Linked DNA regions of Neurospora crassa OR74A. Each later gene encodes a partner of the first gene's protein in a complex. Links are inferred from orthologs where the notes say so. Each region holds a gene or a part of one and is shown in the gene's direction. Other genes may lie near its edges.

Region 1 (7,816 bases):
AGGAGAACGGCGCGGCTTCCGCAGCCTCGCCGCCGCCGCCGCCGCACAAGCAGCAACCGCAGGACCAGCAAGCTCAGCAGAAGCCCACACCGCCCGCTCACGGAAGCACGTTTACCGTCCCCATGTCCAACGGTGCCGATGCTGCTCAGACTAATGACGGCGAAGTTCCTACCCCTCCTCCCCATCGCTCGCAGCCTACTACCCCCGTGCAGAGCCCTGCCGAGCAGGCAGAGGGCTTCAAGAATGAGGGCAACAAGTTCTTCAAGGCAAAGGATTATAACCAAGCGATTGTGCATTATACCAAGGGTAAGAAGGCGGCCAGGTTCGAGGATTAAAAAAAAAAAAAAATTGAGGCAGAAACTAACTTGGGCATAAACAATACAGCCATCGTCTTGCAGCCCGAATCCGCAACATATCTAGGAAACCGTGCGGCAGCCTACATGTCCGCCGGCAAGTATAAGGATGCTCTTGAGGACTGCACTCGCGCAGCGGAGCTTGACCCGAACAACCCCAAGATTCTGTTGCGTCTGGCCCGTATCTACACCAGCCTTGGCAGACCCGAAGAGGCCATCGCCACTTTCGGCCGCATCCAACCGCCCCCTTCGGCAAAGGATATGGCTCCCGCTAGGGACATGTTAAACTATATCCAGGCCGCCCAGAAGGCTCTCCAGGAGGGCACGGCCGCTTCCATGGTTCTGCACCCCCTCGATATGGCCGAAAGGCTCCTGGGTATCGGTGCTAGCCGGCCCAGAAAGTGGGTTCTGATGCGTGGCGAGGCTCTCCTCAGGTTGGGCGATATCAACTCTCTTGGTGAGGCTCAAAATATTGCAATGTCGCTCCTCAGGAGCAATAGCCAGGACCCCGAGGCTCTCGTGATCCGTGGCCGTGCGCTTTATGCTTCAGGTGAGAACGACAAGGCAATTCAGCATTTCCGCAAGGCGCTCAGCTGCGATCCCGACTTCAAGGATGCCATCAAGTGGTTGCGTGTCGTTCAGAAGTTGGACCGTATGAAGGGAGAGGGCAACGATGAATACAAGGCTGGCCGTTGGCAGAAGGCCCTGGAAAAATACACTGCGGCGTTGGAGATTGACCCGTCAAACAAGGGCACCAACTCCAAGATTCTACAGAACCGCGCCTTGTGCTACACCAAGCTGAAGCAGTTTGACGAGGCCATCGCCGACTGCGAAAGAGCCATCAGCCTCGACCCTTCTTACCTCAAGGCCCGCAAGACCAAGGCCAACGCGCTTGGCTTGGCCGAGAGGTGGGAGGACTGTGTTAGGGAGTGGAAGGCACTGCAGGAGCTCGAGCCTGAAGACAGGACCATTGCTCAGGAAGTCAAGCGAGCCGAGCTTGAGCTCAAGAAGTCGCAGAGGAAAGACTACTACAAGATCCTTGGGATCGACAAGAATGCGGATGAGACCCAGATTAAGAAGGCGTACCGTAAGCTCGCCATCGTCCACCATCCCGACAAGAATCCCGGCGATGCCTCCGCCGAAGCCAGATTCAAGGATATCAGCGAAGCTTATGAGACGCTTAGTGACTCTCAGTAAGTCCCTCCCCTGCCCCTCCTAGTTGACGAGTTTGCTAACACCCCGAATAGAAAGCGCGCTAGGTACGATAGTGGTGACGACCTAGTGGACCCGTCTGATATGTTTGGCGGTGGCATGGGCGGTGGCATGGGTGGTATTGACCCTGAGATCATTATCCAGATGATGGGTGGCCAGGGTGGTCATGGCTTCGGTGGTGGTGGTTTCGGCGGCTTCGGCGGTGGCGGCTTCCCTGGAGGCGGTCGCTCCCGCGGCAGGGGAGGTTTTGGCGGCGGCGGCTTCCACTACCAGTGACAAACCCACGAAGATGATAACGAGTACGAGGGCGACTTTGACGATGATAATGACGGGTATCTGTCCGAAGACGACGCTACCGAGCATCACGATGAGCACGGACGGACCCACAGAGCTTGGGGAAAAGGAAAAGCAGGCAACGACATGGATAGCCGAGTGGCATGGCTCAGATCATGGGGTATCTGGCTGGTCGCTGCCGTTGTGCTTTTGCCTCCCCATCTCTTGGTTCTGCTCCTTGTGTGGTATGCATGCCTAAGTCTCTTCAAAAAGTTCATGGCTGCCGTCAGACGCGGCTAGCGTACTTCTGGTATCTCAGTCAGAGAGTGACTGAGACCGCGTCTGGGGTATGCAACCCCTTGGCTCATGCCAAATTTCAGGAAAGATGCCTGAGCGTGTAAGAAGCGATGGAGCAGAAAAAAAAAGACGGGTGTTTTCTTTTACAAATTGGTCAAGGCATAGACTTGTTTCATTGGTTCATAACCTCACATACCCTTTCCCCGGAAAAGTTGCGCCACGCGCATCCTTCGTCTTCCACCATTGTCTTGTTATCGTCTCGACCATATTTCCAGGCCGTTGTTGGGCTATGAGTTGTCGCAGTCATGCACACGCCCATATGGTTATCCTTATCCGGCACTGTGAGATGGAAGTCAGTGGCGTTATGTGTCTAGGTTTCTGGATTGAGGATGTAACCGATTTTCCTTTTTACATATCGGATTGCACATAGACTGACAACTCATATAAAAGTCTGGTGAAATGGGGCTGCTTATCATGGTTTGGTTCTTTGAGTATGCTTGAAGACGAAGCAGAAGAATACTTAGACACCATATATTCAGGATAGAGCTTTGAACTGGCAGCGAGTAAATATGGCACATACAGCGATTATTCCTGTCGCGCAGTATTCATTGAGTCAGCGATGCCGGCATTCGGAAAGACCTGAACAAACGTTCGTGGCAGCCGGTCGATGAACAACACTGGTTGCACTGTGTTGCTAGTTTGTAATTAAGGGTGAGCGGACAACGTGTGGTGTGGCGCCTCTGAATCCTAACTCAAGGATCTAGACATTATCTTCAGATTTTGAATAAGGTTTGAATACAGATTACCGTTCCTAGCTTGTGGTTTGCTTCAATTTGATATCTCTTTTCTATAGTTGCCATCTTTCTTACCATAGTACATGTACATCTTGCCAGATTAGGTGACTTGGGTCATAAATGTCAATTTGGTGATAAGAGCGGACAGCTGGGTAGTTATTATCTACTTGGAAGGTCTCTCATCAAATCTGGGGCGAATACTGCATCCAGGGAGAGAAAAAAGAAACAGACAGAGAGATAGATCTGTTCAGATCAAAGACGACACAAGCTCACCACAACAGGAGGCAAGCTCAATGCCGGGATTGGTTCACAAAGCCACCAAGATCTCGCGTGTCCGTTCTGGGGTCAGAATGAAGGACAAGGAACCGTGGCAGTAAGTACTGGCAGTACGAGCCGAAGGGGCAGGTACGGAGGGAGGCATGTGGGTGTACGTAGCGGTGTTAGCGGGGAGCTTGGGCCCCCTGTCTGAAATTTGGAGGCCACGATTCATCTTCGGTGCCAGAGTCCCCGATCCGCACCTGCCAATCCGCCATCCGCAGAAAGACAACTTGACAACATCCCCCATCACCAATCCGACCAGTATCCATCGGTCCAAACCGACGAACCCTGTGGAAGCCGCCACACCTCACTTGACACGGTCGCACCACCTTACCTTTTGTTCCCAGCCATCTCCAGCAACAATCTGGAAACAACTTCCACTCCTTTCTCCCACAGTCCAATATTAACTACTAGACTACGCTGGCCTAGACAGAGCAGAGGATCCCCGCGGCAGCTCCAACAAAAGCGCCCTGCTCGGCCTCTCCAGTCCCTAGCTGCAACTTGTCCTCGACATCTTTTCTTGGGAATTGCAGCCTGACCGCCGTCTACTTCGGACGCCAGCAGCTTCTCGCCACGATAGGTACTCACCATGAGTACTGATTACGCCTACGACGAGGAGGGCCACCTCTGGCCCTTCTTCGTGTTTACCCTTACGTCCATCGTCACCGTACCCATCACGTACTCGCTAATAAAATCGTCGCGGAACGACCCAGCTGCCGCTCTTAAGCGCATCCAGACGGACTACAAGCACGACCAGTCGGCGGTAGTCGACACATTACGCAAGTCGGAGAAGCGCAAGGACGGTAGCAAGCCATGGCTAATCGCCCTCGTCATCGCCGGGTGGGCTGTCATGGGCTACATGATCTACCTCATCAAGACCACCGACGCCCCGGTACAACACCTCTGGAACCCCTATGACATCCTGGGCATCGCCGAGAGCGCCACCGAGAAGCAAATCAAGAAGACGTACAAGATGCTCTCCCTCAAGTTCCATCCCGACAAGGCCCGCCCCGACGCCTCCAAGAACGAGACCATTGACGATCTGAACCGCCGCTACGTTGAGATCTCCAAGGCATACCAGGCTCTGACGGATGAGGACGTGCGCAACAACTTTATCCAGTTCGGCAACCCCGATGGAAAGCAAGGTTTCAGCATCAACATCGCCCTTCCCAAGGCCATTGTCTCCGATGGCAATGGCAAGTACATTGTTCTGATCTACTTCGCCCTGTTTGGTGTCCTCCTCCCCTATCTGGTCGGCTCCTGGTGGTACGGCACACTTCGACGCTCCAAGGAGGGTGTTCTTATGGAGAGCGCCAACCGTTTGTTCAAGGAGTATCAGGACAACATTGACGAGGGTGGTGTAGTGGCGGCTCTCAGCAGTGGCCAGGAATTTGAAGACCTGTTCAAAGGCGACAAGGCAGATGCCGGCCTCTCCAAGATCGAGTCCAAGGTTATGGCTTCCGACGAACTTCCACCCAAAGAGAAGAAGAAGCTCGAGGACGTTGAGAACGGCCCCCGGAGAAAGGCTCTCGCTCTTCTCTGGGCTTACCTTGGGCGCATTGAGCTTGGTGATGCTACTCTTGAGAAGGCCAAGTTCCAGGTCGCTCCTATTGCCCATGCTCTGAACAAGTCTTTCAATGCCATCGCCCTCGCCTACATGAACACTGCTCCACTCCTCGCCTCCTACTTTGCCAGCCAGCGCCTCATCCAGGCCATCCCGCCCAAGGCTTCTCCTCTGTACCAGCTTCCACACTTCAATTCGGCCGTTGTTCGGGCTGTCGAGGGCGACTCCCGTGTCCACACCACTGTCCAGGCCTTCATGGACCAGCCTGATGCTAAGCGCCGCAGCCTTGTTGTTGGAAAGGGCCTCTTGACCGATGCTCAGTACAAGGAAACCATCGCCTATGCCAAGCAGCTCCCCTACCTCCGTGTCGCCAAGGCTTTCTTCAAGGTCACTGGCGAGAAGTTCATCATTCCCTCTTCCCTCGTCACCCTCGTTGTCAAGGGCCGCTTCGTTCCTCCCGGTAGCGAGAAGGTACCTGACGTCACCCCCATTGATCTCGAGGACATTGACCCCGCCGAAGACGATCTTGACGCCATCCTCGGCCGCAAGAAGACCAAGAAGGTCGTCGGCAAGGACGAAAAGGGCAAGCCCATCTACGAGGAGTCCGCCGAAAGCGAGGACGTTTACCCACCGCTTGCTTCCTCCCCTTACTTTGCCCGCGACCACAGCCCCAGATGGCACGTCTTCCTTACGGATTCCAAGCAGGGACGCGTGGCCGTGCCGCCTTTCACCTTTGTCAGCTTTGACAGGCCCATTTACGAGTCGGACGGCAAGACGCCGACGTTCGCCATGCAAACCATGAAGGCGCAGTTCCAGGCGCCGCCACAGGCCGGCCATTACACGTTTGTCATGCACGTGGTGTGCGACAGCTATGTCGGGTTCGACACCAAGATGGAGGTGACGCTCGTGGTGGAGGACGCGAGCCGGGCGGCCGAGATGAAGGATGAGGAGGAGATTAGCGAGCCTGAGGAGGGTGAGTTTTTTCCTCCCTTTTCCCACCATCCACCACATTCGCATAACAGAAAGCTGACCACAATCGCTACAGATTCTATTGCCGGCATCATGAACGCAGCAAAGGGTGCGCCGACAAAGCAGAGGGTTGTCAAGGACGAGGAAGACTCGGATGAGGAAAGTGGGACAGATGATGATGAGGACGATGACACGAGCGACACTAACACGGATACGGAGCCTGAAAACTAAATTTGGCTTTCTTTCGCTTTATTCGCTTAGTCGTTCTTCATATTTTGTAAACTTTCTTTTCAACATCATTAAGAATGGGTGTATGGGTCGGTTGGTAAGGTTAAGGTGGGGTGTGTGGTCTCCTTAAAAAGTGATGGAGCGGCTTTGACAGCGAAAGACAAAATCTCATTATAGTTTGGACAGTCTGTCTGGTTATTACAACTTGAAATCTGGCAGGCTGGTTAGACTTTTACATGTTGTTGTGTACATAATTATCTTCTCACGGTACTGTAGCGGTTGAAAGCCAGGCGCGGATCCTCGAGCTGAATGTTCGTGTGCCGCAACGCAACGCAATGCACTTAAGTACATGGGTATCATATTCTCTATTCACTTCCTTTTCGTATTTCCCATTGGCTTATCACCTTTTGCCACCAACCCTCTTCCACTTCTTCTCAGGTCGTCCGCCGGCCAACGAACCCGATCCCACAGATCCAGCAATCCAACCACGAAACAGAAGTCGAGAAGGGGGTTGTCAGGCGGCTTGAGTGGCGCCTTTTGTCAACCCCCTTTGATTTCAAAGGTTAGGGAGATGGCCCAACCCCCAAACCGCATCACAACCCCCAAGTACGTGACCTGGTAACTGGGTATCCCATCCTATATAGAAAGATGTGCTAGTCTAGTTCTAGTAGCTCTGTCTTTGTCGCATAATATTCTTGATTTCATTCCTTCTTGCGCAGTCTTCATCCCCTCCTTGTCTTCCTCCTGCACGTAAACTCAAAGGGTAGTTCCGAGCCATCATGCCGCTGAGATATGCAATTCTCGGCTCTACCTCTCTCCTCTATTTTCCTATTTCTGTGCTGAAAATCGGCTGCTTCCTCGTCTTCTTCCTCATCCCACCCTCTTCTTAGGGGGGTAAAAAGTACTAATCTCAATCCCAGTTCAGTCCATCCTCGTCGCGGGGCTGACTGGCTGATGGGATTTCACGCTGTCCTGGGCTGCTGCGCAGCAAAACGGGCAGAGTTCCACCTGGCATTTCTGGATCGACGGAGCTGCTGTTTCTCAGCCGAATTGTATAAAATTATGCGTTTAGGCGGCGACCTGCATATCGGTTCCGGACGCCTTGGCCACGCTCGGGTACTTGTTAGCAACGGGAATGTCGGAGACGGACTGGCCGCGGGCCTTGGCGGTAAGGGCGATGAGTTCCTTAAGCATGAGGTCGCGCGTGTTCTTGCAGAGCTCGTCGACGTCGGCGGTGGTGAGGCCGGTGGTGTCGATGGGGTCGAGGACTGTGAGTGAGGTGAAATGGTTAGTATTTTGATAGCACAAGAAGGAAGTGAAGGAAAATGAAGGAAGGGAGAGAGGGGGGAAAGGTAGGGGTTATATATACCCTTCATAGGAATGACTCCGGCGTTGAAGACGAAGTCCTTCACGTTAAGGACGTGGCTATAGTTGGCAACGACAACTGGCACAATGGGAACCTGAGCCTGGACAGCCAAGTGGAAAGCGCCCTTCTTGAATGGTAGCAGCTCGGGCTCCTTGGAGTAGCTCCTGGTTCCCTCGGGGAACATGTAGACGCTCTGCTGCTTCTTCTGGATCTGGTTGGCGGCGCCGGCCATAGCGGCGCGCGCGTCGGTCTTGCTAGCGCGATCGATGAAGATGGAACCCGAGAGGGACATGAACCAGCCGAGGAATGGGGTCTTGCGCAGCGAGCTCTTGGCCGTAACGGAGCAGTACTTGGGGAACATGCAGCCCAGCATGAGCACGTCGAGCTCGGTCTGGTGGTTGCCAATGAAGACGGCGGGACGGGTTTTGCCGAGGATGTTCTT
Region 2 (5,061 bases), on another chromosome or scaffold:
CATTGAGGATGGCCGGATGGACAGTCCCGCTTGACTCTGTAATAGGGTTCGACAAGCGGGGGGATAAACGAAGCCCCAAGCTCGGGCTTGTTTGTCGCAGAGTTGATTTTGCGGAGGTATGCGTGTACTGACATGTACTTGATTTTCTTTTCCTCGAGATACTTTGCGTTAAACGGATCAAGGGGCATGCAGTAATCGCACATACCCTTGGGCCCGTGGCGACACATCTTATGATCGCGCCCCCTTGGGATCTTTCCGTCACGCTTGTCTAGCCGATCGTCCAGAGGCGACTGCCTCACCGTTTCCCACGGGTTCTTGATATGTTCATGCGGAGATGTCAGCGGAGGCGGGTCGATGGGCAAGTCTTCTGCAGGTAGGATCGGTTTGCCGTTGAGGCGGTTCGTGGATGAAAGCACGCTGGATTTGGTGGCTTCGCCGTTGCCTGGGCCGTCGGTCGCCGCATCGTTGTGCTTGTAGGTGACAAAAATAAGATCGCCATGGCTATTTTCAGGTCGCTAGTTAGTGTCTGGCACATAAATCGCAAGATCAGCGCGAGAGTTCCAAGGGGTCAGCTTGCCTGAGCCCAGTCTGGCCGACCTTGAACTTTGCGACCTCGCTGAGATTCTTGGCGTCGCTGCCGGTCGGATGGTTCGAGAATGTAATTGTTTTCGGGTCAACAGTCGGGGGAAGCTTGGGAATGAGTTGACGGCCAAGATCCGCAAAGGTGTCATCTTTCTCCAATGTCAGGCGGAGCATGCCATCGGGACCGCGTACCCTCAACAACATCGTGGGCGGGCTGAAAAAAAGGTGACGTCTGGGCTGTTAAAGGGTCCGACGGATCTGGTCTGTTCCTGTCGTTCGGCGAGTATAATCCGGAATCTGAATTTAAAATGTGTCGTAGGCGTCGGAAGTAGGGCGGTATCTATGAATAAAGCTTCTTGTTGCGCAAAATCTACAAGGTCACGCCAGGTCCTCGGACTCGGGGTAAAGGCACAACTGGTGACGGGATACGGGTGGTGAATTGTTGGTCGGCAGACGGGACCTGATCGAAGGGCGGGGAGCTCCACGCAACGCTGTACGATAGTTTCAGGCGTTCGTCATACGTGTGCCTGGGCGGCGGGAGTGCTGGGGCGTGCTGGGAAGTGCTGAGCAATCGAGGCATGCCTGCTGGGTTTCCAGAAGAGCCAAGAAACTCCCGGTCCCACGTCAGAGAGAGAGCCCAATGCCGGCCCGGCAATGCCCCGCACCCCTCAAAGACTTGGGAGTGACAGAAAGGGGCTGTCGCGGCAGGCATCGATTTCCACTTGCGGCATGGGCCCCTGCCACTCAGATGAAGCCAGCGCGCGCCAAGGGCCGAAATTCCATTGTCAAGCTCCCCCTGCCGCGCTGCACCGTTGCAGTTGTCAAGGTGTTCTTTCCAGGCATGGGCACTGCATTTGATAACCAAGGGAAGCACGATTACATTGCCGTCGGTGTCCATCACTCACACAACCGCAAAAGGCAAACGCATCCATCACCGGGCAACCTTCAGTTGCACGACGACAATCCTCACGCCACCTACCGCCTCTTGGTTCACTCTAGTCGCTCGCTTTCTTCCAGAGTAGAGAATACAGACATCATTTCTCGTCCGTCAATTTGACACACACTCCATCCCGAAACATGTTCAGCGTCGACTGGCGGGGGCTTGTGCTCCCCTTCGCCTATCTGATTGTCCTGACGGGCACCTTCATGACCTTTTCCACAATCTACCGCAAGAGGAAAGCCCGTATGCAACCCCCTACTCAGAAATTTCTATGCTTCTCTGGATAGAAGCCTAACCATGTTGATTCTTCCAGAGCAAAGCGCAAACCTCGCACCATGGTTCGGTCCTCACCTCCAACGCAACGTCTACCTGTCACTCCTCCACATGGAGCCCGAGAACGGATCCGAAAAGGCACCTAAAGTTCCTGAAAGTGTGCTCCGGGCGGCTCTGCTGCGCCGCGCTGTCGAAGACATCCACCGTATTATCCAGATCCGCGCCGCCAAGGCCGCCTGCAGCTCTCTTTTGCAGCGTGGAAGCATCGGCGATGATCTGTGGCAAAGGTTCCAGCGTGCCGAGAAGGAAATGGAGGAAGAGCTTCGTGATGTTGTTATGGAGGTGTGTGTTCCTTTGAAGAGGGTTACCCGTGCGGATGATTGGATGCCAGAAATGCTAATGCCCGATTCTTCAGGCCAACGCACTCGCTCCCAACTGGGGACAGAGCATCTTCCAAACCGCCAACGAGATTGCTGCCAACACTGTGCTGCGCGAGCGCCTTGACGAGATCCAGGCTCAGGCAACACAAGAAAAGGAGTGGTGGGAGAAGCGCAGGGCCACCGTTAGAAGCGAGTTCATGAAGGAACTGGAAGGGGATGAGGCTGGTACTGGTACCCCTGTGGACACCAGCTCAGTCACCTCATCGCCGTCGAACAAGAAGGGCAAGAACTAGAGGTCACGTCCTAGCGAGCGGTGCATGAGAGTGACGTGAGCATCTCGCATAGAGATCTCCGGGGTGGCTGTACAATAAGAAGAGAGGTATGGGAGGGCAGGGCAGTGTGGGGTTGTGTTGGGCAAGCAATTGCATTCTTCCATGGCGTTTATGGGTTGGGACCTGCAGCAAAATATTCAAGGGTATACTTTTTTGGGGGAGCCTCTTCAGGTCGTTTACGGGTCTTGGTCGAGATATAGTACAGCCCACAGCGCCCTTGGGTTTGGGATTCTTACGTAGACTTCAATACCTACATTGGTCAATATACGAATGAAAGCGAATCAGGCCTCAGCTTGGATAGTTTGAATTTGGGATATGGCGCTGTTCTACGCTGTAGGTATGTACCGATGTTGCCGAGCACCAGCGCTCGTTCAGTACCTCTAGTTAACCTGCCTGGCCATCTAGGTAGACCTTTTGCAAGCGAATTCTTCGGAAACTTTAAATCTTGCCCGTCTTGCTATCCCTACCTCTACCCATTGCAACAATCACTGTCAACCTAAAGATACCAACCCATCTTCCTCCTGATCTCATCCAACTCATCCTGTGCTCCCCTGACCCTCCTCTCCGTCTCTGCGATATCCTCGTCCGTCATCCCTATCGTCGACTTCAGCAGCGCTGATATGTACGTCGACATTCCATTTCCTTCGTTTTCCATAGCGGCATCATCTACCTGCACATCCCCCTTCTTTCCCCCCGTACTCATCTGCCGCATGTCCACGTCTAAACCTAAACTTGTCCCCGTCGGCAACGGACTCTCACAGCCCCTCAGCCCGATAAACCGTCCAATCCTCCTCCTCTTCTCCTCGATCCCCATGCCTGCCGGCCATGACACCGGACAAGGGTAGTGCGCCGTCCACTGGCATGGCGTGCGCTGGTGATAGAAGCTCGCTAGTCGGTCCAGCTGGTCGTCGGTCAAAAGCCAGAAGTTGAGCAACGTCTGGGGAAATTCGGGGTGCACGGTGCCACTGGTTAGCTGCACGAGGGGGGCGAGGGGGAGGGCGAGTTGGCGGAGTTTGGAGGCGAAGGTTGGGGAGAGGAGGGAGCGGCGGGTTGTGAGGGTTGCTGGGTTTTGTAATTGGTGAGAACGGGGTCGAGGGGGATGTGGTGGCTGTGACGCTGCTCCTGATGGTGTGGGAGGCGGACGGCGATGATGACCCCGAGGGTTGGGTTGTTGACCTGGGTGTTGCCCATGGTTGGACATTGTGCTTGCTGTCTCTTTTTTTCCCCTGAAGAATGATCGCGTTTCTGGCTATAAGGGGAGAATCGCAATACCAAACCTGGCCTGATTGCCCACAGACTCGCCGTTCCTACTTTGGTAGCCCTTGCTCGGTGGTTCAAGGGGAGGAACCCGAAGGTTTTTATACAGTGACAAGCAAGACCTGAAGAGGATGAACGAGACGACAAGTTTCCGGTGAATGACCAGCTCGTGATCAATTGGTCTGCTCAACGTCAGCGCTTGTTTGCGATGGGTATGACTGTGATCCGATTATAAGTGAACCTGTTTGCGAGAAACCCGACGAGGGAATTTGTAATGAGTAAATGGGTTGGTAGGTATTGAGGAACATATGATAACTGAAGTAAAGTGAAGGCTTTTTTTTTCTCGTTTCTTTTGTCGGTTCGGTTCGTGCACCCGTTGTTGCGGCAGAGTAGAATGAATAGTTGTATGATTTCTTTGAAACTATTCCGTACCCTCCCACAATGGAAGTTCCTGAAAAGGAAGGGCTAGGGAATGACCTGCTGAAAAATAAACCGACGACGACCTTTTGGATACATCAACGAAACGAAACGAAGCAGAAGCAGTTCACGATTCAAATAAGCAGACCGGAAATGATCAAATAGCCTAGCGAAGATGACCGCCGTCACTGTTGTATGGTAGACATTGCGCACGAAAGCATGTGTTTTATGTCTTTGGTGGCAGAGAAAAGCCGCTGGCGATTTCCAGAAACAGCACAGGTAGGCAGCTATACCGAACGTTGGGATGCCGTCATGGTCTTTTCTTTGTCTTCCCCCCCTTTTGTTAGGGGGGGCTTTGTCTCTTTTATCTGGATTCGAGAGGGTAACGGGATTATGCCAATCGAATACATTGTTCGGCCTTGTATGGAGGTCTTGTCGAAAACGATGTGAATGGAATGAATGCCCATGACAGTAACAATGCATTTTCCCCATGTGGCCACTCAAAATGCCAAACATAGCTTCCCATTCCATCCACATCCAAGGATGGGACATTCGAAACGAACAAAGAACGCGAACGGAAAGTTGCCCTGATGCTCTCGGCTCGGTTCTTCCCCTTTCTCCTCTTTCCCTCCATCCGCTTCCCAGCCACACACACTCACACTCACATACACACAGTACACACACCTATCCCGAGCCGATTACAGCAACCACTTAACCTTGGCAACATGATCCGCTTTCTTCTTGCTGCTCTTGACAAAGCCCATCAGCCTCAACTCTGCCAAGCCGTGATAGAACTGCACCAGCGCCTCTCTCTCGCCCAGTCCACCATCCTCCGAGTCCTCGCCCACAAGCGCGTAGTACGCAGACCATAGATCCGCCA

Evidence for each region. The genes of interacting proteins can lie anywhere in the genome.
Region 2: the proteins of NCU00169 (region 1) and NCU02681 are in contact, whole or in part, in a cryo-EM structure (PDB 6N3Q), measured with the Saccharomyces cerevisiae proteins. The link is inferred for Neurospora crassa OR74A from reciprocal best matches to the Saccharomyces cerevisiae genes SEC63 and SEC66. Residues at the interface, in NP_014897.1 of Saccharomyces cerevisiae: Gln247, Thr250, Lys251, Lys252, Asn256, Ala259, Ser260, Val263, Val267, Asn268, Tyr269, Lys270, Pro271, Ser272, Glu273, Ile274, Thr276, Ile339, Gly342, Phe343, Arg344, Leu365, Pro367, Thr528; in NP_009730.3 of Saccharomyces cerevisiae: Asn69, Lys109, Leu113, Gln116, Ile117, Leu120, Asn123, Gly124, Ser125, Ile126, Gly127, Glu128, Asp129, Tyr130, Arg133, Arg178, Arg179, Ser182, Arg186, Val189, Glu193, Trp194.

What each region holds. Positions count from the first base shown.
Region 1 is NC_026503.1:2,871,728-2,879,543, reverse strand, and holds NCU00169 (translocation complex component), read left to right. Parts: upstream 1-3,434; 5' UTR 3,435-3,836; coding exon 3,837-5,784; intron 5,785-5,856; coding exon 5,857-6,011; 3' UTR 6,012-6,364; downstream 6,365-7,816. Other genes in the region: NCU00170 (DNAJ domain-containing protein), read left to right, coding at 1-306, 385-1,546, 1,601-1,841; NCU00168 (1-acylglycerol-3-phosphate O-acyltransferase), read right to left, coding at 7,077-7,276, 7,378-7,816. UniProt on the Saccharomyces cerevisiae protein: Acts as a component of the Sec62/63 complex which is involved in SRP-independent post-translational translocation across the endoplasmic reticulum (ER) and functions together with the Sec61 complex and KAR2 in a channel-forming translocon complex.
Region 2 is NC_026501.1:3,181,218-3,186,278, forward strand, and holds NCU02681 (translocation protein), read left to right. Parts: upstream 1-1,381; 5' UTR 1,382-1,659; coding exon 1,660-1,765; intron 1,766-1,835; coding exon 1,836-2,137; intron 2,138-2,210; coding exon 2,211-2,468; 3' UTR 2,469-2,797; downstream 2,798-5,061. Other genes in the region: NCU02680 (nuclear protein localization protein 4), read right to left, coding at 1-501, 578-786; NCU02682 (hypothetical protein), read right to left, coding at 3,004-3,708; NCU02683 (hypothetical protein), read right to left, coding at 4,880-5,061. UniProt on the Saccharomyces cerevisiae protein: Acts as a component of the Sec62/63 complex which is involved in SRP-independent post-translational translocation across the endoplasmic reticulum (ER) and functions together with the Sec61 complex and KAR2 in a channel-forming translocon complex.